Linked DNA regions of Caenorhabditis elegans. The protein of the gene in region 4 interacts with the protein of the main gene of each other region in a pairwise test. Each region holds a gene or a part of one and is shown on either strand. Other genes may lie near its edges.

Region 1 (6,699 bases), on a different chromosome or scaffold from region 4:
ATATTTTTGTAACTGCATGGAAATTGGGCGAGATTCTTCTTCATCATCGAGAGTTGTTCCAGAGAGAAATTGAGAACTTCCGTCGTTTCTCCGAGACTTTCCAAGTCATCCGACATCACGGAACTGGCATCTGAATCGTCATCAGAAGCGTTTTTCTCCGAACCAGCAACACTGTTCTCCAGAATTTGCACTTTTTCAAGGCTCTTAGCTATTGATGGTTGACGGGCTCGTGGAAGAATCACTGGCTTCTCTTCGACCACCACGTTCTCATTTTCGCTGTCTGTAAGATTTTTAAAAGTTGAAGCTTGGAAGGTAAGAAAACAAACCGCTATCATCCCAAGCAGCATTTGCAGACATCGTTCTCGAATTTATATCGAATTGATGAACCCTTTCCAAAGAATAGTAAGCTGACTTATTCCTGAAATCAATATTTTAAAATCAATCATCAACTAGAGGAAAGAAAAGGAAGTTTAGCTCGTTTCTTTCAAGTCTAAGACATAATTTTAAGATGAGCAATTGGATTAGGGATTAAGGTCTCGCACGGAAGAGACAAATCGTTGCAAACTATTTTCGTATCACGAACCGATCAATAACTTTTTTTAAAACAATATGCAGCACGGTAAGCGAACCGAACGAAGAAAACTCATCAACTCCATCAAAAAAAATCCAGAAAAATTCATTATTTATACATTAAATCTCTATTTTAAAAAGCTGAATAAATGGATATCTTTGGAAATCCCCCATAAAAATCATCACACAGAGAAATAAATTAACGGAGTTTGGCGGGCACACATTCTTATTATTTCCCAACAATCAAAAAGAAGAAAAGTAAAAGTGACCAGACTTAGTGTGAATTATAACGCCAACTCCGTAAAGATTAATATAACCTCGTAGGAAAAAACGTCAAAAAGGATGGGAATCGTTCGTTTAGATTGGGAGCTCCATACCCTTACGGGTTTGGACGACACGGGTGACGTAAAGATAGAAGAAATCGGCGTAGAGAACAGTTTGTACAATTCCGGCAACAACGACAATTGGATCGAAATAGTCCTCGGTGTAGTAGCGGTAAATCCAGTTGAAAATGTAGAGAGCGCGGTAGGAGCCAAGAGCGAACAAGTAGTGAGCAGTGATGACCTGGAAGAAGAAACGATGAATATGGGAGAGAGATAGAAGGCTCAATTTGTGGCCTGGTGTCTGCGTCTCTACACCAAAATGTCTAATCCAAAAGAAATTAAGAAAAAAAGATGTCGAGTGTTTGCAAACAACACAGTAAAACTTATGAAAAGAATGGATTAACTTTCAGTCAAATTTCATCAGGTTGTTATATTAGCAAAGTTAAAAGGCTGACGAATCAATTTGGACTACAGCGGAGATGTGCGCGAAATTCGGAATACGGGGAAAACGGTTGGAATCGGGAGAAACGACAATTTCTAAGCACAACAATTTTCTTGTACTATCTCCAATTTTGCCATCTCTGGATTTTACACTTTTTTACGGCATGTCGAATTGAGAGGGAAAATTTTGCACGCTGAAGTCAAATTTGGCGCATTTATTGTATTATTTATTATTTTCCAGATTTACCTCAGCGGAACCGGTAGACTGGAGAAGGAAGAGTTGTGGAAGAATGGCCACAGCCTCCAAATAGATCGAAAAAGTCCAGAGCAACTCAAATGGAGCGAAATCGTGATTGATGAGAAGAGCGAGGATCGCAGCTGGGACGATGAGAAGCTCGACACGGAAGGTATCCGACTCGCGCATGTAAGTTGAGCGGAATTTGAAGAACATCAGATACACTGTGGCGTACGTAGCGGCGAGGAAGGTGATCTGAAATTTGATTGTATTTATAATTGTTACGGACAGAAAGTTACCTTCATTGTAGTGTTATACAAAGAAATGTATGTGGAGAAAAGATCCAAGTATCGAGCAGTGAACACGAGAGCGAACAGAATCTGCGACCGCGCAGAGATTCCGGAGCACGATCTGCTCTTCCAGATTTTGAGCAGAAGGATGATAATCGCAAGCAAGTGCGACATATCTGCCGATATACGGAAGATGTTCATGATGACCCTAAAAATTATCATACTTTGAGAATTTAGATACATACATCAGGTAAAGAAAAGAAAACGCAAATATGAAATGAATTGGAAAACACCTATTCATTCCAGTGAATGGGTATGTTTTCAATTATCGAGGTCAACGTTGTTTATCAAAAGATAACGGATAGAGTGATAGGGAACAGAGAAAATTATATTATATGGACGGTAAAGTTCCGGAGAACGAACAGAAATGGTTTAGAGTTTTCCTTTCGCAGACAAAAAAGAGTGCAATAAAAGCCAGCACTGAATGTGCCACGTGGGAATTTTGAAAAATGCAAATACAACGCAACGAAGCTAAAAAGGTTTACTGAAAAAAACTAAAAAATGGAACTTAAAACATAAAGACAAAATTTTTAAACATTGAATGCAAAAACTACGTGTATTTACAGTTAAAAAACACATAACCCTGCATTCAACAAAAAAACAAACATTTCGATTCGCTAGGTAAAATGCATGGAAATATTCTATGAAAACTAGAATGTTTGAATAGAGCATTTTGTTCGAACGTTCTGAATACCGAATGTTTTTTTTTTGTTTTCGAAAGACCTAGATTTTCTAAAATTGTAGGCCTACATGAACTTTTCAACCATTTTTTGGTATTCACATAATGCGTAGCTACATATTAATCAATTATCGCAAAAAATTTAAACTGTTTAATTGAAAAACGAAACGTTTTAGGCCGGAAACGAAGAAGAAAACTCGAGCCAAAAGGTCCATCAGCCAACGAGTCCACGCTGGACAATACGCAATTTCGCGTGTTGGTGTTTGCGTACATCGGCAGCTGTCCAATTTATCGATCAGTGTTCATTCATTCTCTTGTTTTTTTTGTTTGTTCACACCGGGCGCCCGATTTCTTGAGCTATCAAAATGTTTAAAAATAATCCAAGACAGCTAATCTTACAGACAATGATCTCGGAAAACGGATATATGGACCTGATGCGGAACTGCATTAAATGGAATTCCCGGCAAATGGAGGATCGTAAAAAACGGTTAGTTATTGATGTTTCGGCTACTTAAAAAAGATCCATTTGAAATCTGAATAATCTAAGTAATGATAAATCTTTAGAGCATTTAGGAATTATTTTTTGGTTGTACTAAGCCCCTAAAAGTTGCAGACTGCGGTTCCCATACTATGAACATCAAACGGCTACGGCCCAGCGAGAGTCTCGCTTCACAACCCGCAACGTGGATCACATGTATCCATCAAATGATCCAAATACTGTTGTTCAATTCGCAACCGAGAGATGGAAGAAGAGCAAGTCACAGCCACCATCTGATGCTGTTGAGATGAGCATGTTTTTGCGTGAGAATCCGTCTATTCAGGTTGCAATTGATCATCTCACTCCACAAGTTGTCGGACCAACAACTGGTGAGAAGCATCAGAACGATTCAACCTAATTTTTGTAGTTCGATTTGCAGAAAGTGTTTCTGATAGTTCGAACGACTCAACTACCATCAGACCATCCCGCCAAACACAGATCAAAGAGGAATATCGTGATGACTACGTTCTTGACGATGAGCTCTCTCCAGACGAGTTTGGCTCCGATGAAGATGATTGGTCGTCGCGTAAACGCCGTAAAGGCAACTTGGGGCCTGTTCAGAAAGCAACTTCGTCACGTAAAAAGGTTTCTTTATTTATTCAATTGTTTAAATAATTTTATTCTGACTGTTTAGGTACCAACAACTCGTTCCTCTGTCTCTCGATTGACCCCATCTCGTTCCATAGTGAAGGAAACAAAATATGAAGAACCGGAGGAGAAGACGTATCCATGTGACAGTGAGTGGTTGTACGGCGGATTAGCGAAGCCCTCTCGCCCAGGAGAACACACCATTCTTCTTGTCCTTTTTAGTCTTATTTGCCTCCCCCATCGCCCACAGCATGTCAGTTACCGGGAACACTATCATCATGATTTTTAGTTTAATTTTTCGTATCTTGATTCATTCGGTTTCGAGATTTTTCAAAAAATTAGGATGCTTGGAAATTGCACGAGATTATTTATGTTTTTGCATGCTTTAGTTTTTTTTTTAATTATGCATGTTTCTCCAGAGATCCAAGGAAAATTAAATCAAAAAAATGGGAAATTTGGTCTAAAAAATAAATTTTGGAAGATTATGTATGATCTTTTTTTAATATTAGTTTCATAATTAGTGGTGTGATTTGTAGTACTTCTTCACATAATTGTGGATCTTATCAAATGTATTAGCTTCCTTCCTCTCGTTATCAATTTGCACTAAGTCATAAGCCAATATGTATCCTGAATATCCCATTCTTATATCCCTCCTAGTATTTTATCCCTCTGTAAAAGAAACCTGGGCGAGAGGGACCTCAGTAAAAAATCCTGCGGCAACCGCTCAACTGATCAAAAATACATCTCTCCCACCCGGGACACGGGGTCTATCGAGAGGAAGTTTGTAGAAATATAGGCACTAAATTTAGCATGTACTGAGTGTTCCTGGAAGCTTATATGATGTGGCATAATGGGAAATCTGTGATTTGAAAATACTCTTTTCAAACCGCATATTTCCCAAGTCCTTTCGTTTGTAATTTAAAATTTTTGATAATTTTCAGAATGCAGCGCGAAATACAAAAGCCTCGCGGGTTTAAGCTATCATCAGTCGTATCTTCATGATCAAAAGTCTAGTCAACCACTGGTTAAGTGTAAGTTTTTTGCATTCCAAGCTATTTTCAAATGTATTATTTTTCAGTATTGTCTCCCAGTATAGAAATATCTACTAGCTGTGATTTCTGCAGCGGCACTGCTTTTATGAACAAAAATACAAAATTGCCAGAGGATCTCGTTAGTTGTCATGATTGTGGTCGTTCTGGTCATCCTTCCTGTCTTAATTTTAATCAAAATGTGACCAAAATCATAAAAAGAAGCGGATGGCAGTGTCTTGAGTGCAAGAGTTGCACCATTTGTGGTACAAGTGAAAATGATGTAAGATATTTTCTATTATATTTATAAAGTGCAATATTAATTGGATTTCAGGATAAATTGCTCTTCTGTGACGACTGTGATCGTGGATACCATCTTTATTGTCTGACTCCGGCGCTCGAAAAAGCTCCAGATGATGAGTATTCATGTCGGTTATGTCAAGTTGAATTCGGAGACAAAGCGAGTGCACCGGCCAAGAAGTAATGGTTCTCAAATATTATATTTATTCCAATATTTTTTGCATAATCTCGACCCGTTTGCTTACGATCCTCCCACACCGTCATCCGATTATTTATTCTTCATTTTCACTTGAACTTTAAGTATTATTATTACTACGTAATGGCTCATACATAGAGAAAAATTCTTGTTCTAAAAAGCCAGCCTAAAACCTCACTCACCCCTCCTTCTGCTACTTTGATTTCTCGCTCTTTTCTTTTTTGTACTTCCACATTTTCCTCGTCCTTTTTATTTATTTCAGTCTTATCATAAAAAAGTTCAATAAATACTATGATTCAAAATAAAACACATGTGAAGAAACTCGAACAATATTGGAAGTTTCAAAGAATCAAACGGAACATTGAAAATTCTAATTCAAATTACTATTTTCCAGTTTAATTGACAATTTTTTTTATTAACATCTTGGAGTACGATACAAGGTCTTACAACGATCGAATATATCCAAATGAAAAGAGATAGGCACCTTTAAGAAGTACAGTAACCTTCACGGCCCACTGTTTTGCAGTTTTCTTTCATTTAAGCTAGTTAAAAATATATATAATTGTTTAATTTTAGATAAATATTGTCACATCCAATAGGTTTTTAGAGTAAAAATTACAACAAATAAAATTGCAAAACCATGGGGCGTGGAGATTATATTTGGTCTTGTCGAGACCTGGTACTGTATTTTTAAGTGAAAATTGCAAACTTTCGTATCTGGGTAATATATCTAGTTTTAAAAAATCTAAAATTATCGTTTTAGAATGTTTAATTTACTTTGGTTGTTTCATAAAAAGAGAATTAACTGTTTGTATTCATTTTATTATCATTTTATCATCTTATCTGACCTACTACCATATAAATACCATAACATTATTTTATAACTTTCTCTATTCTTCTCTCTTCCAATATCTTTCACCCATTTATTTTACTTATTCATCGCCCAATTTTATGTCCCTTCTACTCTCCATTCTTTTTTGTCTTTTACTTGAAACAACACATATCGATTACACAATTGTGTTCTTTCTTAGAAATAAAAAAAAACATTTTTGTTTGTTTTTGCATCTCTATTTTCTCTTGCAGTTCTCCTCCTATCCCTCCAAATTTGGAGCTGATTCAATTTGCCGCCGGGGATCTCGGATAACTCTTTGAAGCCAAGAAGCTCAGACACACTTCCACTTCCGTCTCGTGTACTTTTGAAAGAGACTACTTTTAAACTATACTCGTGTACATTTTTGCAACAAAAAATAATGATCAGCATTTTTTTTTAATTTTATAAGTTTTGAAATAATAAATAATTCAAATCCAAATCACTCAAAAATAAACATTGGCTTCTTCACCTCCTCCTCACTTTTTCCAAAAAGTGATCGTTTTTGGAAAACCGCCGTTTTCCGTTCGAGTGCCTATTTCTTCCCTTTTTTTCGTTTTGTTCTTCTAAAAATTTCTCACCT
Region 2 (5,976 bases), on a different chromosome or scaffold from region 4:
CGTATATCAGGAATGATATGGAGCTTTGTGAGCAGCCATCTTGCTCAATCTGGCAAGTTGACCGGTACAACGAAGGACAATGAGACTATCAAAAAGGAGGCCAAAGTGCTCTTCAACCCATTAGCAAACGTTAGTGTTACATTTAATTTTTAATTTTTACATAATTTAATTTTTAATTTTTACAGCGAGCAGTGGGTTCGCGTCAAAGTGGAGTTACTAATGCTTCTGCTAGCAAAGTTTGTGTCGACGAATCAGCTTCCATCAACGACCTGCTCAAGCAAGCTTATATTTATGGCCCGTCAGTTCACCGCCTACCCATCAACTCCGTTCCAATGTACAAAGTCATTCGTTGCTATGAGCCCGATTTTTTCTCGGAGGAAATGCAAAATCGATATTTAGCGTATGTTTTTTTAAAAATCACTTGGTCAAGTCACGTTCACGTGGTGTCAGAGTGTCTCATTCCGGCTTGATCTACGAAGATCTTCAAAAAATGCGGAAGAAGAGACACAGAGTTCTCAACTGATTTCGCATGCTTAAGATTGTGCTGACGTCAATTTTTTTAGGCGAAAAAAAATCCCGCATTTTTTGTAGGTCAAACCATAATGGGACAGCCTGGTAGCACGTGTGATGTGTCAATTCAATTATATTCTCATTAACACTGACCAATATTCTAATCAAGATAAATTTCAGAAGAAACCCACCGGTTGCACCTGATGCGGCAGTTTTTCGACCAAAAATGCCACACATCGTTTTGCAATCGCCCAGTAAAAAACAGTTTACTCCAGCTACTTTCAACAATCGAGTTAGCTACATCTTAAAGCCGGGAACGAAAGCTGGAACAACCGTTAGACTCATTGTGAGTTGAAAAATCAACACTGATAGATCTTTCAAAAACTTTTAAAATTTCAGAGTTCCACAAAAACCCAACCACGACCTGTAAATAGTGGCATCGCTTATCAATCTTCTGACGTTCAGCCTCAACTTATGAATTCGGAAGCGGGAATTGTCAGATATTTGAACTAGATTCCGTGTGCTGTTCATTTTGGGAAAATTATTTAATTGTAATGCATTTTTTTTCGATAGCCCAATTAATTTGTCCAGAGTAAAGATTAAATTTCTAACTCCCTGTCACTTTTAGATTTGTATCATTTTTAGTACGCCCAATTGTTTTCAACATCTAGTCATTTTTGTCATGTTTTAATATTATCGACTGGTTTCTTATTCTCAATACCATTTTCATTGATCATTCCGTAAATCACGTTGTCTTCTTGTAAAACATTATCCGACGTTTTTTCTTCTTTTAATATTTTAATGATCATACTTTTGTAATTATCCTGTTCATGTGTGAATGTATCAAATGTTTCAATAAATGTTCATATTGAAAATATGCGAAATCTCGTTTTTTTCTTTGTATTTCCCTCATTTTTTCCCTCATTGCCTTGCGTCTTGCAAATTGTTCGCCTCAAGCGTCAAGTCTCATCTACTTTTTTTCTCTGCTGACCACTAGGCTGAACGGTTCTCTCCGCGTTGCCAACGCAGCAGCTCACACTACTCCTCGCCGTCTGTTTGTTGGGTCGATCGATAGGGCCGCATTGGCCACCGCACACAATTGGTTTGACATGAACGGCTTTGGCGATAACTGCCGCCGTCGTGTGGGCCACAGTGAGATAGTAGCACACGCGTTGAATGGCTCGTACCACAAAAGTCGATGAGAGAGCACTGACCATCCCCGTCGAGTTGGTTGGGGGGGGGGGGGGGGGGGAGAGACACTCATACGTTCATCTCGTTTTGTGGAAACACCTCATCATCTAGACACATCATCTAATATTCTATTCCATTTCATTTTTTCAATGCCTCACTCCCCGTCACATTTGTTATGAATGTGTAGAAAATGTAGAAAGTGTGGAAGAATCAATGCTGGAAAGACTTTGCAAAATTTTCCGAAATGTATACGAATATGTTACGAAACTTTTTTTTCATGAAAAATATATTGCATAGCTTTCATTTAGCTTTGTTTCAGTATTGTAAGGTTATTAATATAATTTTATAATTTTTCAAGCAACACAGCTCTAGTTAGAGCTTTTCTTACATAATACTATTTCAATGCATTGTTGGTGTTGAAAAAGTCCTTGTTTATGTCGCAAATAAGGATTATTAATTGCTTTGCACTTTCACTCTTATCTTCAATAATGTTTATTGACTGATAACGTTTCCACTTTGAATCATACTTTAAACAATATCTCGTGTTTTTTGCCATTGTAATTCCCAGATAAATCACACGGTTTTGCTCATTGCGGAACCCTCTCACTTGTACTTTTTCTCCATCTTTTTTTCTTTCGGTCTCGCGCTGCATTTCCCCGTCCTCGCGTTCCCCCATCTAACCTTCCATTCTCTTTTTATTCCAACCGCTCGATTATTTCTCAAATCAATACTGTCTACTTTAAGGGTGAGAAACGGAACATGTTTGGTGAAGAGCACAGTAGCTACGATCCACTAATCAGTGGACTCGAGCCTGAACCATTGGAAACCGTTTTCCAAGAACTTTTCGCGGGTATTAAGAACTATTTCACACAGGAGGAGACGCCTATTCCTTCGAAATTGCAAATTTTGCAAAAGCGTCGGCTCAATGAGAACCGTCCTCAAACGGAACTCAAAGAGCAAAAAACTGAGCCCAAAACAAGATCCCGTCAGTTTGCAATGCTTCGTTGTGGAACGTGTTCTGAAAATTTTGTATCACAATTTTCTTTGGAGCATCACGAGACCCTAAATCATCCCGTGTCGTTTAATTGGTTCTGTTCCGAATGTAATGTTCACTTTGACACTCTACAACAAGCCAGTGACCACACAATGCTGACTCACGGGTGTGGAGAGATGCCGGTGGTGAGAGAAAAAAAAAGAAAAAAAACGTACACATTGGTCGCTTAAAATACATTTTTTTTTGCAGTGTGAGTCAATGCAAAATGCTCGAATACCATCTGGCCCGTTTCTGATGCAAGCCATCACACGCCGTTCCAGTGATTTTGTAAAGGAATTCTTGTTCACCAGAGACAAACAAACAGTGATGACAACCGCATATTACACGTACGCAAAGTGTGAACTGCAGGCAGTTATGTCGGGTAGCATTGGCTTAGTGGTTTACAATCAGGCTAAAAGCGACTTATTGGCAACGGTTAGATAGAGTTCTAAATTTGCAGTTTTTAAAGCAGAACTATTTTTTCAGCTGGAGTCTGCAGATCACGATGATTTTGTGTCGAGCATGAAAAATACATTTATTTACGGGAAATTCATAAAACGTTCGCCTTCGGAAAGCTACGTCCCCTCGGCGACCGTTTTTAAGACACTGACTTTCAGCACAATGCCGCCCCAAGTCAAATTGTAAGAACTACCAAATTTAGGTTTTTAACAATATTTTTCGTTTTAGCAAAAAATCGTCTCGACCGGTTCCACCTGGAAAAAGTCTTGGAGAAGTCGTCTCTAAAATGGCGGCAAGTCAGCCGCAGTACACTGTGCGATCTGCTCCGTACTCAAAGGGTCGAGCGGTAAGATTTTGATAAATGCATTAAGTTACTTGTCATGTCAGAAGGTACTACTACATATTGTATTATCACTATTAGACTTGCTCACCGATTGCTTCACGCTGACAGCTAATATCTCGATTTTCTTTAATTTTATCAAAACATTTTAACTGCGTAATTACGTAAAATAATTTTCAACATATTGACATTGTACTATTTTTGGTACAATTTAAGACAACCGAGATATAAGCTAGCAGGTCTAATAGGACAAGTTTCAGTAGTTACCAAGATTTAAAATACTTCCAAATTCGGATTGTCCAGCATATTTTGTGTGTTTTTTCTTTAGAATACAATAATTACTAATGGGGCTAATCAAGTAATGTCGCGAAATGTAACAAAATGTATTGAAATATACATATGTCCACATTTGTTTTATAAAAAAAAATTTAAAGGGGCGATAATACAATTTACTGTAAAAACTAATAAATAAATCAGATCATCAAAATCCCGACTTCAATTCGTAACCGCAACTACACACTTCCACCTGCAGGCCCACTTCCGCTGCGTCGCACTTTGATTACTACCAACTACACCATGTATCCAGTCAGAAACGCTGTTCAGTGATAATCTCATTTTGAAACTTACCCCCGATTTAATATAGCTACATGTCATTAATCATTTTCTTTTGTCTCACTTAAGTTTTCTGTTACTTTTTTTCTACTTTTAACTTATGCCTCAAGTCACTTCCAAATCAAAACCACGACCTTTTCAAACTCTCTGTTGTTTTTTTTCTGATCCGTGTAATATTATTTATTGTTTCTTTCTTTTTTACTTTTGCAGATTCTCCTAATTGAAAACTTTCAATTGTCATTTTTTTACGGTCCGTTTTAGGAATCGTGTTCTATTTAAATAATTGCCAAAAATAAATCTTTTCAGGTCAATCAATTCGTTTCAATTCTATTACTATATCTTTTGCAAGTGTAAAAATAAAACCAAATAAAATTATTTTTGCTTCCCTGCATTGCAATATAAATAGTGGTGTTCATCGAGAAACGCGCACGCTAACCGGCCACTGGCGTGTTTTTCGTGTACTAGTCACCACAGAAAACTGCAGAGACGCAGAATAACTCCGTATGTTTTTACTGGGCATAACTGTTTCCAATTCCCTGATTTTATTGTTTTCTTTTTTAATGCTTGGTTTAAGTTTAAAATTTTTATTATTCTACTTAATCAATGTGATTATATAAATTTTCAATTTCAGATTTGAATGTCTGCAATCAGGAAGATAATCCAGCGGCAACTTTTCCAGAAAGACGATGAAAGAATTCAAGCAATAGTCAATGTCTCAAAGTTGGATGGAAAAAAGAAGAAAAACCAGACACTACTATGTTTAGCAGGTAAGAATTCTTGGAATTGTCCTGTATAAAAATCGATAACTTGCAGTCACAATCGAGCACCCCATCGCCGTCCGTTTATACTTTGTGAAAGGGGAGAAAGATGATACATTCAAAAAGAAGGACAGGTTCAATTTGAGAGAAGTCAGAGAAATCGACGGAATAAATCCGAAAAAAGTGAGTATTTGAAAATTATATGGATTCACGCAATTTATACGATATATGTAGTGAGCAAATGTGAGCGTAACGAAGAACATAACGCAAAAAATGTGAAGCTTCTCGAATAACTGAGGATTTTCAAGTTTTACGAACACTAATGTTTGATGGAGTTTATCAACCTAAAATAGCTAAAAATTCGCCATTTTGCCGCAACTTTTCAACGATCTTTATCAATTGTAAAAATTGCAATTAGCTAAAGTTAGGTGAGAAGTTGTTGAAAGAATAGTTATTGTACACTAAATTTGTCGAAAAGATGATGCAAATTGCAGGAATTATTTTGACAAAATGGCTTATCAATTAGTTAAATTCGCATTTACTTCAAGTTTTTTTGGGTTTAAAAAAAATTGAGAATTTTATTCAACTGACAAACATTAAAAAAATTCAGGCATCACCAGAGTTCCACATCACTATCGGTGATCATCAATATGTGATTTTGGCTGGTTCCGCTGAGGAAAAGGACGAGTTCATTCGAGAACTCTACAAGGTATCCAACTATAATACTTTCAACTTTTTTACTGAAAATTTCGTATTTTAGTTGTCATGCCAATACCTTCCAGTCCAGATGCCAGATTTCTGCAATTTCTCTCTACCGCAACTTGAATCAGAAACCTCCATTATACCCATTGAGCTTCCTGAGCATGATATGGCGATGCAAAGTGATTATCAGCCAATATCCAACAAGGAGGACGCAGACTTTCGAAAGTTGATTGCGCGAGCTAATTTGACTATTGGTGAAGCACATATTTTTGCCGAAATGCTGACGGAGCAATTGCAATCTCTCGATGGAGCCAACATCAACTCTATGATGGACAGTGAGAATTCCGTAAACCAGTTGCTTTCGAGTATTG
Region 3 (6,261 bases), on a different chromosome or scaffold from region 4:
ATTATTTGATTCTAACTATTATAAGCTAAATCAGGTAGCAAATGAAGGCAGAATAAGTTTCATGTTAGTTCAAAACGAAATTTTAAAAAAATTTATAATTTTCAGATTGATCATGGATTCTCTCGATTTCAGCACATCGGAAGTTCGGATATGGTGGCATCGTCTATCAGAACTGGTCAGTGTAAAAAACTTCCCAAATTGTCTTTAAAAAGCGAATTCGTCACAATCAAAAAAGTTTCCGTTTTTTTTTGTTGATTCTCAGTATTTTTCAGATAAAACTGAAAATAAAACATCGCAAAATCGAGAAAAATGAAAGAAATGTCCGAAAAAAAGTCGAGAAAACTATTGTTTTATCCAAAATATGTTGATTTCGATGAGAAAAATAAGAAACTTCTTTTAAAAAATAAAAAAAATCGGAAATTATGAACAATTCTTTATTTTTTAAAAGAAAAATTTAGGTTTTTTTAACAACGAAAATTGAAAAATCGATAAATCAATATATTCTTTTTCGGATTTTTTTCGAATTTCGGAAAATCGATTAAAAAACGAAACAAAAACGAGAAAATTAGATTCACTAAAAAAAGAAGAAATTTCGTTTAAAAAATTTAAAAAATGACCGAAAAACGGAAATTGAGAGATGAAACTAACAATTTTCCTATTTCTCATCAGAAAATTATCACATTAATTTAATTGCAGCTGTTATTTAAATTAAATAAAACATTTTAACCGTTTTTTCAGGTATACCTCGAGCGCCTAGACTCGATACGGTAGAATATTCCAACTATGAACATGAACCTGAAACAGATGAGATTTCTCGAGATGGAACACCATTTTGGTCAACACCAATTCCACCAACTAACAAAGAATTGCCGGTTTCCCCTGTATCACAATTGGACATGACGAATTCAATCAAGAGCAGGTAGAATTAATAAATTAGAATTTTCATTTCATAATTTTTTTTCAATTTCAGAGTGGAACGTGTTGATGTAGAAGTTAAACTGGAACCTTGCAATGACGAAGATGATGAATTTAGTGAAGAAGTTGATGAACAAACTGCTGAATTGGAAGAACAACTAGCAACTGAAGCTATACGGACTGGTTTGGCACTTTTTGGAAAAGTTTCCCCATCTCCAAAACGAATGAAATCATGTGGAAGTTCTGGAAGTGTTTGTGGAGATGTAGTCACAGCGATTTGTGAGATTTGTGGAATTGGAATTCGCCTGAATTCTGGTGGTTCTAAATGGAATTTCTTTGAACACGTAATGATGAAACACTCCACTCATAAACCATTCAAATGTTCCCAATGTCCATATCAAGCTGTACGAAAAGTTCGTGTAAAGCAGCACGGACAATCACAACACAATTCGGAACACGAACCTGTGAATATGATGTGAGTTTTTATTTTGAATTTAAAAAATTTTAAAAAAATTATTTTTTAAAGATTTTAAAAATTGTGCGACAGCTCTTTTTTAGTTGAATCACTAATTCACTGAGATTATTTTTTTTTATCTAATCTCACTCGAAAAGCATGAAAGCCGGTTTCTGTTTTAATTGTATAATTATTTTAAAATGTACGCAATTTGTTTTATAAATTACGAAAATTGCTACTAATGTTGCAGCTGCACCGCAAGATTTTTTTTTTCCATTCTATTTAAAATGGTAATTTTATCCAAATGTGAGGATAAGCCAAAAATTTATTTTTGGCATAAACCCGCAAAAATAGATTTGAAATTTTGAATAAAATGTAAATTTTAGAAATTTTTTTTTCTAGATCATATTTTAGACTAAAAATGTTTCAAAAGAGCATATTTAATTTTTTTTTTAAATTCAATTCTGTCGCAAGATCGCTCCATTAAAAAAAATTAAAAATGTTTGAATAAAATCCAATTCAGACGATGTCCATTTGAAAACTGAATTTAATTCGTTTCATTCCAAAATAAAAAAATCTTACAAAGTCAATTTTTTTCAGAACACCAGAAGTACGAAAAGAATGGCTGGATACAATGGCAAAGTGTTTCCCGAATCATCAATATGGAAAAGAAGCAAAAATTTAATAGTTTCTTTAAATTTTTTTCGTTGATATTTATAATATTTTCTTTTAATTTTAAGTTTTACAACGCAAATTTTGTTCTTACTCGATTTTCAATAAAATCGTCGGTCTTTTTATTATTTGTGGTAATTTCTTTTTTCTTATTTAAATAGTTATTTCTATTTCTGAATATCTTTATCGTGCTCTTGTAATTCCTAATAATATAAATAATATACATAGGTGTCGTCTTCGTACGATTCGAACCCGGCCGGGATGCCGAAATTTGTGGTCATCGAACTGAACGATGATGCAGCAACGATCGATCTTCTCAGTTATTGCGTGAGTTTTTTTATTTATAAAAATTATCTAAAATATTGATTTACTCATTTTCTCTGGTTTGAAACTTTGCATAGAACTTCCAATTGTACCTCTGATTCCTTTTTCGGTCCATATTAACCATTGGTATCCCCTAATTATTCGAATCGACTTCCTAAACAAGGGTGCCGCTGAAAAAATTGTCGGTTTTTTTTGTTGAGAAAATCCAAAAAAATTCACTTTTGAAAAAAAAACGAAAAATTCCGTTTTTTTTTTAAAGAAAAAATCGAAAAAAAATTTGAAAACACTTTTCTTATACGGAATTCAAAATTTAAGTTGATTAAAGTTTTTTTTCAAACAAGTAACCGAGATTTTATTATTTTTTTTGGACTTTACAATTTTTTAAGTGTAATTGAAAATCAATAAAAACTTTTTTTCTGAAAATCGAAAACAAATTTTTTCCGTTTTTTCGCTCTTCCAAAATCCGAAAAAAAGTGCGGTCTGATGCTAACCAAGGATTTCTTTTAAAAAATGTCAATTTTTCTGTTTGAGAAATAATCGAAAATCTAACTTTTTTTTGAGCAATTTTTGTTAAATTTTGATAAATTTCGAAAAATAAATTTTTTAGTTTTTTTGTCTAAAAATGCCAATTTTTTTGAGAGATAATCGAAAAACGAACTTTTTTGGTTTTCCGAAAAAAAAATCAAAATTTAATTTTGTTGAATATAAAACACAAAAGAAAATATAATTTCCTTCTAAAAAAAGCCCAGGCGCTGAAATTTCGAGCAATTTTTGAGAAATTTCGAAAAATCAAAAAACCAAAATTTGTTGAATTTCCAACAAAAAAAACCGAAAAAGCGACACCCTTGATCCTAAAATGTAGGGATTCAACATAACCTATAACTTCTATTCTCTTAGAAATCAGATTTTTGAAGTATAGACTAGCTTGAACATCACTGCAAACATTTTTTTTATATTTCTCCTAAAACCTCTACTCTATCAATGATCTCTCAATTCCAAGCTCTTTCTTTCGCACGATGCTCATTTCGAATTCGACATATATAGCTCCTTTTTTCGGTGCTTCTCCTGTACATAAGAGATCGATGAAATCAATCGTCGTGGCGCTCTCATAAATGTGCAGAAAGGAAGCAAGAGCTGCAGCCAACTGCTGCATCGGCGTCCGTATTTTTTGTTCGCTCTGTTCCCTTTTCCATTTATGCGAGCAACACGGTGATGCTACTTTCATCGACGAGAGATAGTATATGTTGAACGGAGGATTTGAATGTTTCTGTTCACGGAGCAACCGTCCGTTTTCTTTCTCTCAGTATCATCCTCTACCCTTTTTCGAAATATTTCTATATTTGATACTGGAAATTGGTTAATTTTCGCATTTGACAGGTTTGCTCATTTATCGAGATTTTTTAAATCTAAATTCTAAAATCATTAGCGACAATAACTAAAAATATAAATTAATCAATAATTTTCCTGAAACATTAAAATTCCATTTAGTTCTGGTATTTCTGTCCGAACTAATCTTGTAATTGAATAATCTATATTTCATCACAATGTCTTTCTTTTTCTTCTATTCTACGAATACATTTTTGCCTGTACGAGCTCATAATAGAACGCGTTGGCGCCTGCCTCACTTTCAGCATCGTCCGAAGTGTACATACCTCCTGTTCTCCATCATCGTCTTCTCCCATCCCTTTCTCTTTCTCCCATACCGGGTATTGAGCGCCTGTATGCACAATGCACACAACTGACAAAACTGTACTCGTCGCGTCGTTGTCGCCGTTGTCGTGTGCCCCGGCGAGCGCAACCAACAACAAAACTGTGTGAGCGCTGTTAACACCATTTCTTCTATCACCTTCTAAGCATCCCGGTTTGAAAGCGGGTGGTAAGGTGTCCGATATTATAAAACCGCAGCACAATGCTTAGAATGTGTGTGTGTGTGTGTGTGTGTGTGTGTGTGTGTGTGTGTGTGTGGTGTATGCAAATATTGCCGGTGGAGCCGAAGCCATAAAAATCGAGCACATCGTCAGTCTGACGGTATCATTGTGCATCTTTTTTGATACGACTTTTCACTTTTCCGTCACTACACTTAACCTTAAGTCTGCAGACTTCTCTTTTTTCTATAGTATAGACTCTTTATCCCCTTATTACAATAATCGTCTTTACGAGTCCTCATTGCTTCCACTCATTGACTATCCGTACTTATAAAATGAAACTCCTTCTTATTTCTTAATTCTTTGTTCACTTCTACAAGACGCTCTTGACTCCAATTCATTCTCACGCGATTTCGCCCAGTGAGTGTCCGAAATAAGGTCAAATTGTGCATTATGTGAAGTGAGAGTGAAAGGGTCTTCTAAAGTTTTGACCTGGGATACGTCATTCTGAGATTTTATGGTAGGAAGTATTGCTCAAAATCTAGAAGAATTTTTGAATGGTTTTCAAAAAATTATCGACTAATTAAGCAGTTAAAGTACTCGAGTAGAATTTTTTTCGTTGTTTTGAGTTTTTTTTGAAAAGTTAAAAAATGTGCTATCGTTTTCTTTTTAACTCAAAGTAACGTATTACTAAATGTTCCGAAGATCCTGTTAGAGTATCCGTGTCGTCTTTTCTCTCTGAGTTTATGGTATTATGGGAACATTCGCGCACAGTGCGCATTAGTCGTCTCCGTGATCTTTCTCACTCCTCCGTAGCGCATATTATTCCAATCCATGACTTTCTCCTTCTTCATGTCCAAGGAGCGAATGCATATCTCCGTAAAGTCACCCGTCGAGGCCGCAAAGACGTACACCCGCACTTTCGGCTCGCGATGACCTAAATTCTGTGAACGGTTGGACGACGGAAGAAGTTGATGAAATGGTGCGACCTCCTCTCCGCTCTATAAATCGACCCCGATTGGAGCCAATTCAGATGAAATCGTTTTGTGCGCACACACGCTTGTCTAAATCGGATTCGTTCTACCAACGTGATTCACTCGTCGTTCAACCATTATTGCACACAATAGAATCGACAAATCGACATAGGCGCTGTAGGCGACGACGACGACGAAAACGAAGTGATGAGCGCATGCGAGACGAGGGCACCACTCAAACTGGTTTTCGAATCGCTGAGTTACAACCACAGAGGCGGTCGGGCATCACATAGCGAGGCCATCACACATTTTCATTGTGTCAGAGCCACCAATGTCAGAGGAATCGTTAAACACCGTGCATCAAACAAAAAATCAGTGGAAAGGAACGATTGGAGAGTACTGAAGAGAAGAATGGGTTGCTGTAGGAGTGAGCATACGATCAAAAATTCAAAATGTGTAGAATAGGTGTTTTGGAACTTTTTTAAATTCCAAGTGAGCTGTTTGAAGATTTAGCATTGTTTTGGAAGACATTTTTTCAAAATTATCAAATACTAAGGCAAAACAATTTCTTAAAAATTGTCTGAAAATGTGAAATTGTATCTAAAAGTTGTCATTGGCAAAATTTAAAAAATCGTTTTTTTTTGCTGTAAGGTTTAATTTGGAAAAGCTTTCAGATAATTTCAATGAAACTGGTACTCTAGTATTTATGGTAAAAATTGTAGCGATTTTTAGAAAAAAAACCTTGATCAAAGCTGTATTTTTGGCATTTTCCAAGTTAAGTAGCAAGTTGACCACTACCTTCTTTTAACAACATCTAATCACTTCTCTATGACTCACAATGAACACACTTCGTCAAACAGACGCTAGTCTACATGACCCATCTTATACTTTCACTTTTCATGTGCACAAGAATTTGGATTAGCTTTTTGAGTTGTGAGACATATGTATCTAGATCTTGAGAATCACCTGTTTTATTCTAGGAAGTTACAGTGTGCTTCTGCTTCTAATATGTGGCGAGTATCACTAATCCATGCATTAGGTGCAAGGTCATATATCT
Region 4 (5,348 bases):
GGCGTGAGAATATCACAAGTGTATAATCAAAGCGGAGAACTCTTTATTTTTCAAATGTTTCCTTGGAAGTATATAATACTCATACGGGTGTGTGTGTTTTAATGTTCAGCATTTTAGGTATTGATAAAATAAGTTCAAGCTAGAAATTTTCCTTGTTTTCCCAAAAAAAAATTTTTAAGGTGGGGTACCGAAATCTGGGAAATATTTTTGAATGAATCCTAATTTTCCCCTGATTCCGAGTATCTATGTGAAAAAATTCAAAATTCAAAACAAGTTTGCCAGATTTTATATTTAAGCTTGAAATCGCCGAATTTCATTTGTATCCCGGTCTCTTTTTTAAATACGCGCTCAAATAAATTAGCATTGGAGCGCGCTTGCATTGTTTGATTTTTTTTCGTTTTTTTACATTTTTTTCAGAAAAAAAAAACCGACAAAAATGAATGAAACTGGTTTTAAAAAAATTGAATTCGGCTAAAATAAAAAAAACTAAACGAAAAAAAGTCAAACGATGCACGCGCGCGCTAATTTATTTGGGCGCGAGTTTGAAAAAAGTGATGCGAGTACAAATGAAATTTAAAAAAAAAAAATTTTTATGAAAGATTTCAAGCTTAAATATAAATTCAGGAAATTTTTTTTGAATTTTTTCACATAGATATTCGGAATCAGGGGAAAATTTAGGGTGAATTAAAAATATTTCCAAGATTCAAGTTTTTTTGGTTAGACCCTTATTAATTTTTGCGTGCTGACGTCACAATTTTTCTGGAAAAATATTCCCGCATTTTTCGTAGATCAAACCGCAATGAGACAGCCTGACACCACGTGTATCGGTTTATTTTTAAGATACCACATGGAAATTGACAAATTCTCGATTCACCATGACTAAAACTAGAATATTAATAAAATTTTAGCTATAAGTATTTGTCTGTTGCTTCTCGACAAAGCTGTAGAAAAAGTTTCGAAAAATTGAATTTTTGAATTTGAATTTTTGATTTTTTTGATCCCAAGTTTTTTTCCAGTTCGTTCCAGTAATAATTATATATATATCTAGGCAAATAAATCTCCCCTCGCTTGAAATAAAAAAAAATAAACTCAAGACATATCAAATAAGCAATCAACTTTCATGTCCGCTATATAAGGTCTGAAACATTTATGGAAAAAGTTTGTTTGCCACAAAGATTTATTCGTTGACATTTTTTAAGAATGTTCCCAAGATGGAAGTCATGAATTTATACTTTCTTGGAATAATTTTATTACCAACTGTTTTCTGATTTTTTTTTGGTTAAAAATGTCCCCCCGTCTCATTTCATTTTCCCGCTAGAATATATTTTTTCTCCTGCAACCTATAAACTTCCGATAATTGATGATATTTAAATAAAAGTGTTCAGTGATATTACGGAAAAAATGCAAAAACCTCAAACTTTCCAAAATAACGTACGACTTTTTAAAAGTAAGTAATTTACATTTAACATGCGTAGTATTATGTTTCTCTAGTTTTACATTTTCCTCAAGTTCTAATAGGAATATATCAAACTTCAAAAGAAATTTAGAGCATTTGGGAGCAATTTGGGCTCGGAAAATTTTTTTGGTTTTTTTATTGTATTTTTAAATTAAAAAAAAAAGAGCCGTGAAATTGCTCAAAAAAAAAAAGGTTTTTTTGCGTGCGGGTTGCATATCCTCATTTTAAAAGTAATTTTTTAGGCTATAAAAATATAAACTTGTGAAAGATATGTTTTTTTCTGGATTTTGTGAATTTCTGGAAATTTCTCTTTCTTTTTTTTCTACCCTTCCCTCACCCCCGCCTGAGCTTATTCTGAAGCCAACACCTAAGCCTAAGCCTAAGCCTAAGCGTAAGCCTAAGCCTAAGTCTGAGCATAAGCCTAAGCCTCAGCCTAAGCCTCAGCCTAAGCCTAAGCCTAAGCCTAAGCCTAGGCCTAAATTTAAGTGTAGCCTTAAGTCTAGACCTAAGCCTAAGCCTAACAATAAGCTTATACTCAGTAGACATCCTTACAAAATTAATTCGATTTCCATGAAAAATTGTAGATCAACCTTGCTGGTCTATTCAAAAGGTTTTTTTCAAATAATTGAGGTTATATTTGAAAGTCCAAGTATTACAAATTAGCACAATAATATCACATGTGCCTCCGCTACTCCAAAATTTCAATTCAAATATTTAAGTTCAAGAAAAGTATTTAATAGTCAAGTATGAGAAACTCATTCCCTCAATTGCATCAAGTATCATCCCTTACCACCAATCCTCCTCTCCCCCTCCTCCTTCTCGAAATCCGGTCTCTTATTCAATTTGCTGGCTCATGCTCTTTTTGTCATCATCTCAGAACTCACCCATCTTCTTCTTCTTTCCACACCAATTGCGCAATCATTGTCGACCACTTTGGCAAATTGTCGTCGTCGTCAACCGTCAAAAGTCCCCCGAGAGTCCAGAATTTCAATTATTTGATTGAAGAGAAGGCGGGGACCTCGAGACCTACTGTATAGAGAAGTCTCTCAGAAGTTCTTTTCATTCGTGCAAAATGGAAACTGACTTGCTCTTCCAACTACTTCAACCCTATTTTGCACTGTTGACGTCTGATGTGAAGCCTCAGAGAAGAACTAGTCACCTGATAAAGGATATACTTGACTTACCAACTGTTAATGGAGAAATTGATGAATTTGGAAGATGCAGTAAGTTGATTTCTTTGGATTAGGTGTATGAAGTTTTGTAGTTGAAAAATAGACTAGTTTTGGGCATGGTGCATTTGAGGTGAAATACTATTCTTTTTGACATGGTGCATCGATTCGTATTTTCTGTAATAGTATTTCACTGGCCTTTTTTTGAGTAAAAATTACAAAAATTACAAGACACAATTTTTATTTCCTTTACTCTCAATTTTTGTTTTAAAATATTAGAAAATCTGAAAAAAATTAAAATGTTTTCGAAATTTTGGAAAAAAAATTTTTTGGAAATTTACTAATTTTGTTCAATGAATTTCGGAAAAATGCTACACGTAGAAAAATAATCAGCCGTTAAGAATATTTTTTCAGAATCCAGCCTCGACCAAGCCAAAGAGTCTCCTATAGAAAAATGTCAAAAAACAAAGAGAAAGAAGGCGCGGACGACATTTTCCGGGAAACAAGTATTCGAACTGGAGAAGCAGTTTGAGGCGAAAAAGTATTTGTCAAGTAGTGACAGAAGTGAGCTTGCAAAACGATTGGATGTCACGGAGACGCAGGTAGGCACGCAGCGCGGCACGCAACGCGGCACGCAACGCAGCCCGCAACGCAGCACGCAACGCGGCACGCAACGCGGCACGCAACGCAGCACGCAACGCAGCACGTAACGCGGCACTCAACGCATAGCTGAAATTTCTCAAATTCCAGGTGAAAATCTGGTTCCAAAACCGGCGTACCAAGTGGAAGAAGATCGAATCGGAAAAGGAAAGATCTGGAGAAATACCGGATGATCAGATTGTGAAGCCGCAATAATTTTATGTTGTTTTTATTTTTCAAAGAAAAAGTCGTGATATATCCCCTTCTATGAAATCCCGTGAACAATTAGTATTTCCAGTATCTTTTTTTCAAAATCAAGATCTCTTCCTTTACCTTGATCTCCATTCTTCTAATAAATAATTATTGCAAAAATATTTACTCGCTCTATTGATAGCTATATTGTGTACTCCACGTGGATATTTTTATTGAGGGTGCTCTTTCTTTTATGTCTCACACGTTAAAAATTAAAGATTACACGATAAAACATTTTATTGCAGACCCGATAAGTACGTCAAATTACACACACAAACACAATTTCCTACAGTCTAGGCAGTCATATATTTCGAGCAGTCAACACTGTTCTTAGTTGTTCTGAAGAATGGGCACTTGGTGTCTGGGCAGTTTAGTGGAATGGTAGGATCTGACAGATTGACTTGATGGTTCTTGGATCCGACTGGTTGAACGATATTGTTCCACAAGTGCTTGGCAACATTGGCGTGGCCTAGTTTTGAGAAATGGAAGCAATCCGGTGCAAACCAATCCAGATTGACTTCTCCGTCGGGCTTGAGTGGTGGAACTGTGATTCCATTGAAGAATGGTTGAACGACAAATGTAAAGTCATCTGTTGAGTCGAAGATTCCCGAGTCTTGAATCTCCTGCTGAGCATCCATGTAAAGATGGCAGGCAGCCGAGATGTCGGTATTCGGGAAGTCCTTGTTCTTCTCGCATGGGCACTCGAACACATGGAGGCCGTCGCAGAAATACTTGTCGTGGTCGATTTGGCGAAGCATGGCCATGTCGAACATTCCGGTCATGGATACGATGGTTCTGGAAGGACTTGGTATTGATGGCATAGTTATGGACCATACTCCTCTTTTTGAAAAAAAAATTTCCATAAAAAGCCGAAAAATGTTGGCTCTTATTATCGAAAAATACGATCGCAAATTTTTTTCATAATTAATTTTTGATCTACCTTTGGAAGTTGACTCTGCCCACGTGGTGTCAGAGTGTCTCATTTTGGCTTGAATTACGTTGATCTACAAAAAATGCGGGAGAAGAGACGCAGAGTTCTCAACTGATTTTGTATGGTTAAGAACGTGCCGACGTCACTTTTTTTTTGGGCGAAAAATTCCCGCATTTATTGTAGATCAAACTGTAATGGGACAGCCTGGCACCACGTGTTTGCCCATAATCTTGTTGCCGTTGTTATTTTGTTGTGGCTGTCTTGTCGAAGGAAGGGGAGGAGCCTAGTCAACAAGGTAGATCAAAAATAAGTTACGAGAAAAATTTGCGATCGTATTTTTTCGATAATATGTTTAACTTTAATTTATAATTGGCACGGAAACGGCCACAATTTTAAAGATTTTTTTGCGCCACTGCTATGGGATCAAGGGTGTGCCAAATTTCCCGAATTTGCCGGTTTCCGAGCAAGGCAAATTTCAAAAATTTGGACATAATTTGTAATTTGCCACAAATGTTTAACAACTTAGTTTTTCCATCAACTCGGTACTTTTTGAGCACCAAAAAATGATGCGCTTTACCGAGTCCGACAACCACGGCAAATTTGCCGAATTTGCCCGAGCAAGGCAAATTTCAAAAATTTGGACAAATTTGGAATTTGCCACAAATGTTTAACAACTTAGATTTTCTGTTAATTTTGGCACTTTTTGAGCTCCAAAAAATGTTGCGATTTACCAAGTATGACGACCCCGGAAAATTTGCCGAATTTGCTGGTTTCAAAATTTGCCACACAGCTCTGGACCATGTAGGTATTTATAGGTAGGTATAGGTATGTGACAATTTCATAATATTATAGTTATTTACTTTAGAATGTCATGTCCCTATAGTTTACCTACCTTGGTAAG

The links.
Region 1: the proteins of ceh-9 (region 4) and dpff-1 interact in a two-hybrid assay, tested with the Caenorhabditis elegans proteins (one large-scale study listed by BioGRID).
Region 2: the proteins of ceh-9 (region 4) and ztf-13 interact in a two-hybrid assay, tested with the Caenorhabditis elegans proteins (one large-scale study listed by BioGRID).
Region 3: the proteins of ceh-9 (region 4) and lir-1 interact in a two-hybrid assay, tested with the Caenorhabditis elegans proteins (one large-scale study listed by BioGRID).

Annotation. Positions count from the first base shown.
Region 1 is NC_003281.10:5,902,419-5,909,117, reverse strand, and holds dpff-1 (Zinc finger protein dpff-1), read left to right. Parts: upstream 1-2,995; 5' UTR 2,996-3,002; coding exon 3,003-3,085; intron 3,086-3,211; coding exon 3,212-3,465; intron 3,466-3,503; coding exon of another isoform or gene 3,504-3,515; coding exon 3,516-3,721; intron 3,722-3,770; coding exon 3,771-3,873; intron 3,874-4,665; coding exon 4,666-4,755; intron 4,756-4,802; coding exon 4,803-5,035; intron 5,036-5,086; coding exon 5,087-5,236; 3' UTR 5,237-5,555; downstream 5,556-6,699. Other genes in the region: putative helicase C28H8.3, read right to left, coding at 1-280, 327-357; ER lumen protein-retaining receptor erd-2.2, read right to left, coding at 928-1,134, 1,582-1,824, 1,869-2,060. UniProt on the Caenorhabditis elegans protein: Probable transcription factor, involved in meiosis and stress protection.
Region 2 is NC_003284.9:3,098,644-3,104,619, reverse strand, and holds ztf-13 (C2H2-type domain-containing protein), read left to right. Parts: upstream 1-2,340; 5' UTR 2,341-2,460; coding exon 2,461-2,880; intron 2,881-2,944; coding exon 2,945-3,169; intron 3,170-3,220; coding exon 3,221-3,375; intron 3,376-3,421; coding exon 3,422-3,539; intron 3,540-4,010; coding exon 4,011-4,139; 3' UTR 4,140-4,454; downstream 4,455-5,976. Other genes in the region: K10B3.5 (C2H2-type domain-containing protein), read left to right, coding at 1-129, 186-400, 691-856, 910-1,023; sec-3 (Exocyst complex component 1), read left to right, coding at 4,783-4,912, 4,959-5,086, 5,514-5,612, 5,664-5,976.
Region 3 is NC_003280.10:7,669,741-7,676,001, forward strand, and holds the start of lir-1 (LIn-26 Related), read left to right. Parts: upstream 1-2,264; 5' UTR 2,265-2,302; coding exon 2,303-2,368; intron 2,369-5,123; exon of another isoform or gene 5,124-5,259; intron 5,260-6,261. Other genes in the region: lir-2 (C2H2-type domain-containing protein), read left to right, coding at 106-175, 739-919, 971-1,390, 1,970-2,054.
Region 4 is NC_003279.8:563,572-568,919, reverse strand, and holds ceh-9 (Homeobox protein ceh-9), read left to right. Parts: upstream 1-2,331; 5' UTR 2,332-2,528; coding exon 2,529-2,679; intron 2,680-3,039; coding exon 3,040-3,227; intron 3,228-3,375; coding exon 3,376-3,480; 3' UTR 3,481-3,636; downstream 3,637-5,348. Other genes in the region: Y65B4BR.1 (Lipase_GDSL domain-containing protein), read right to left, coding at 3,810-4,311, 5,340-5,348.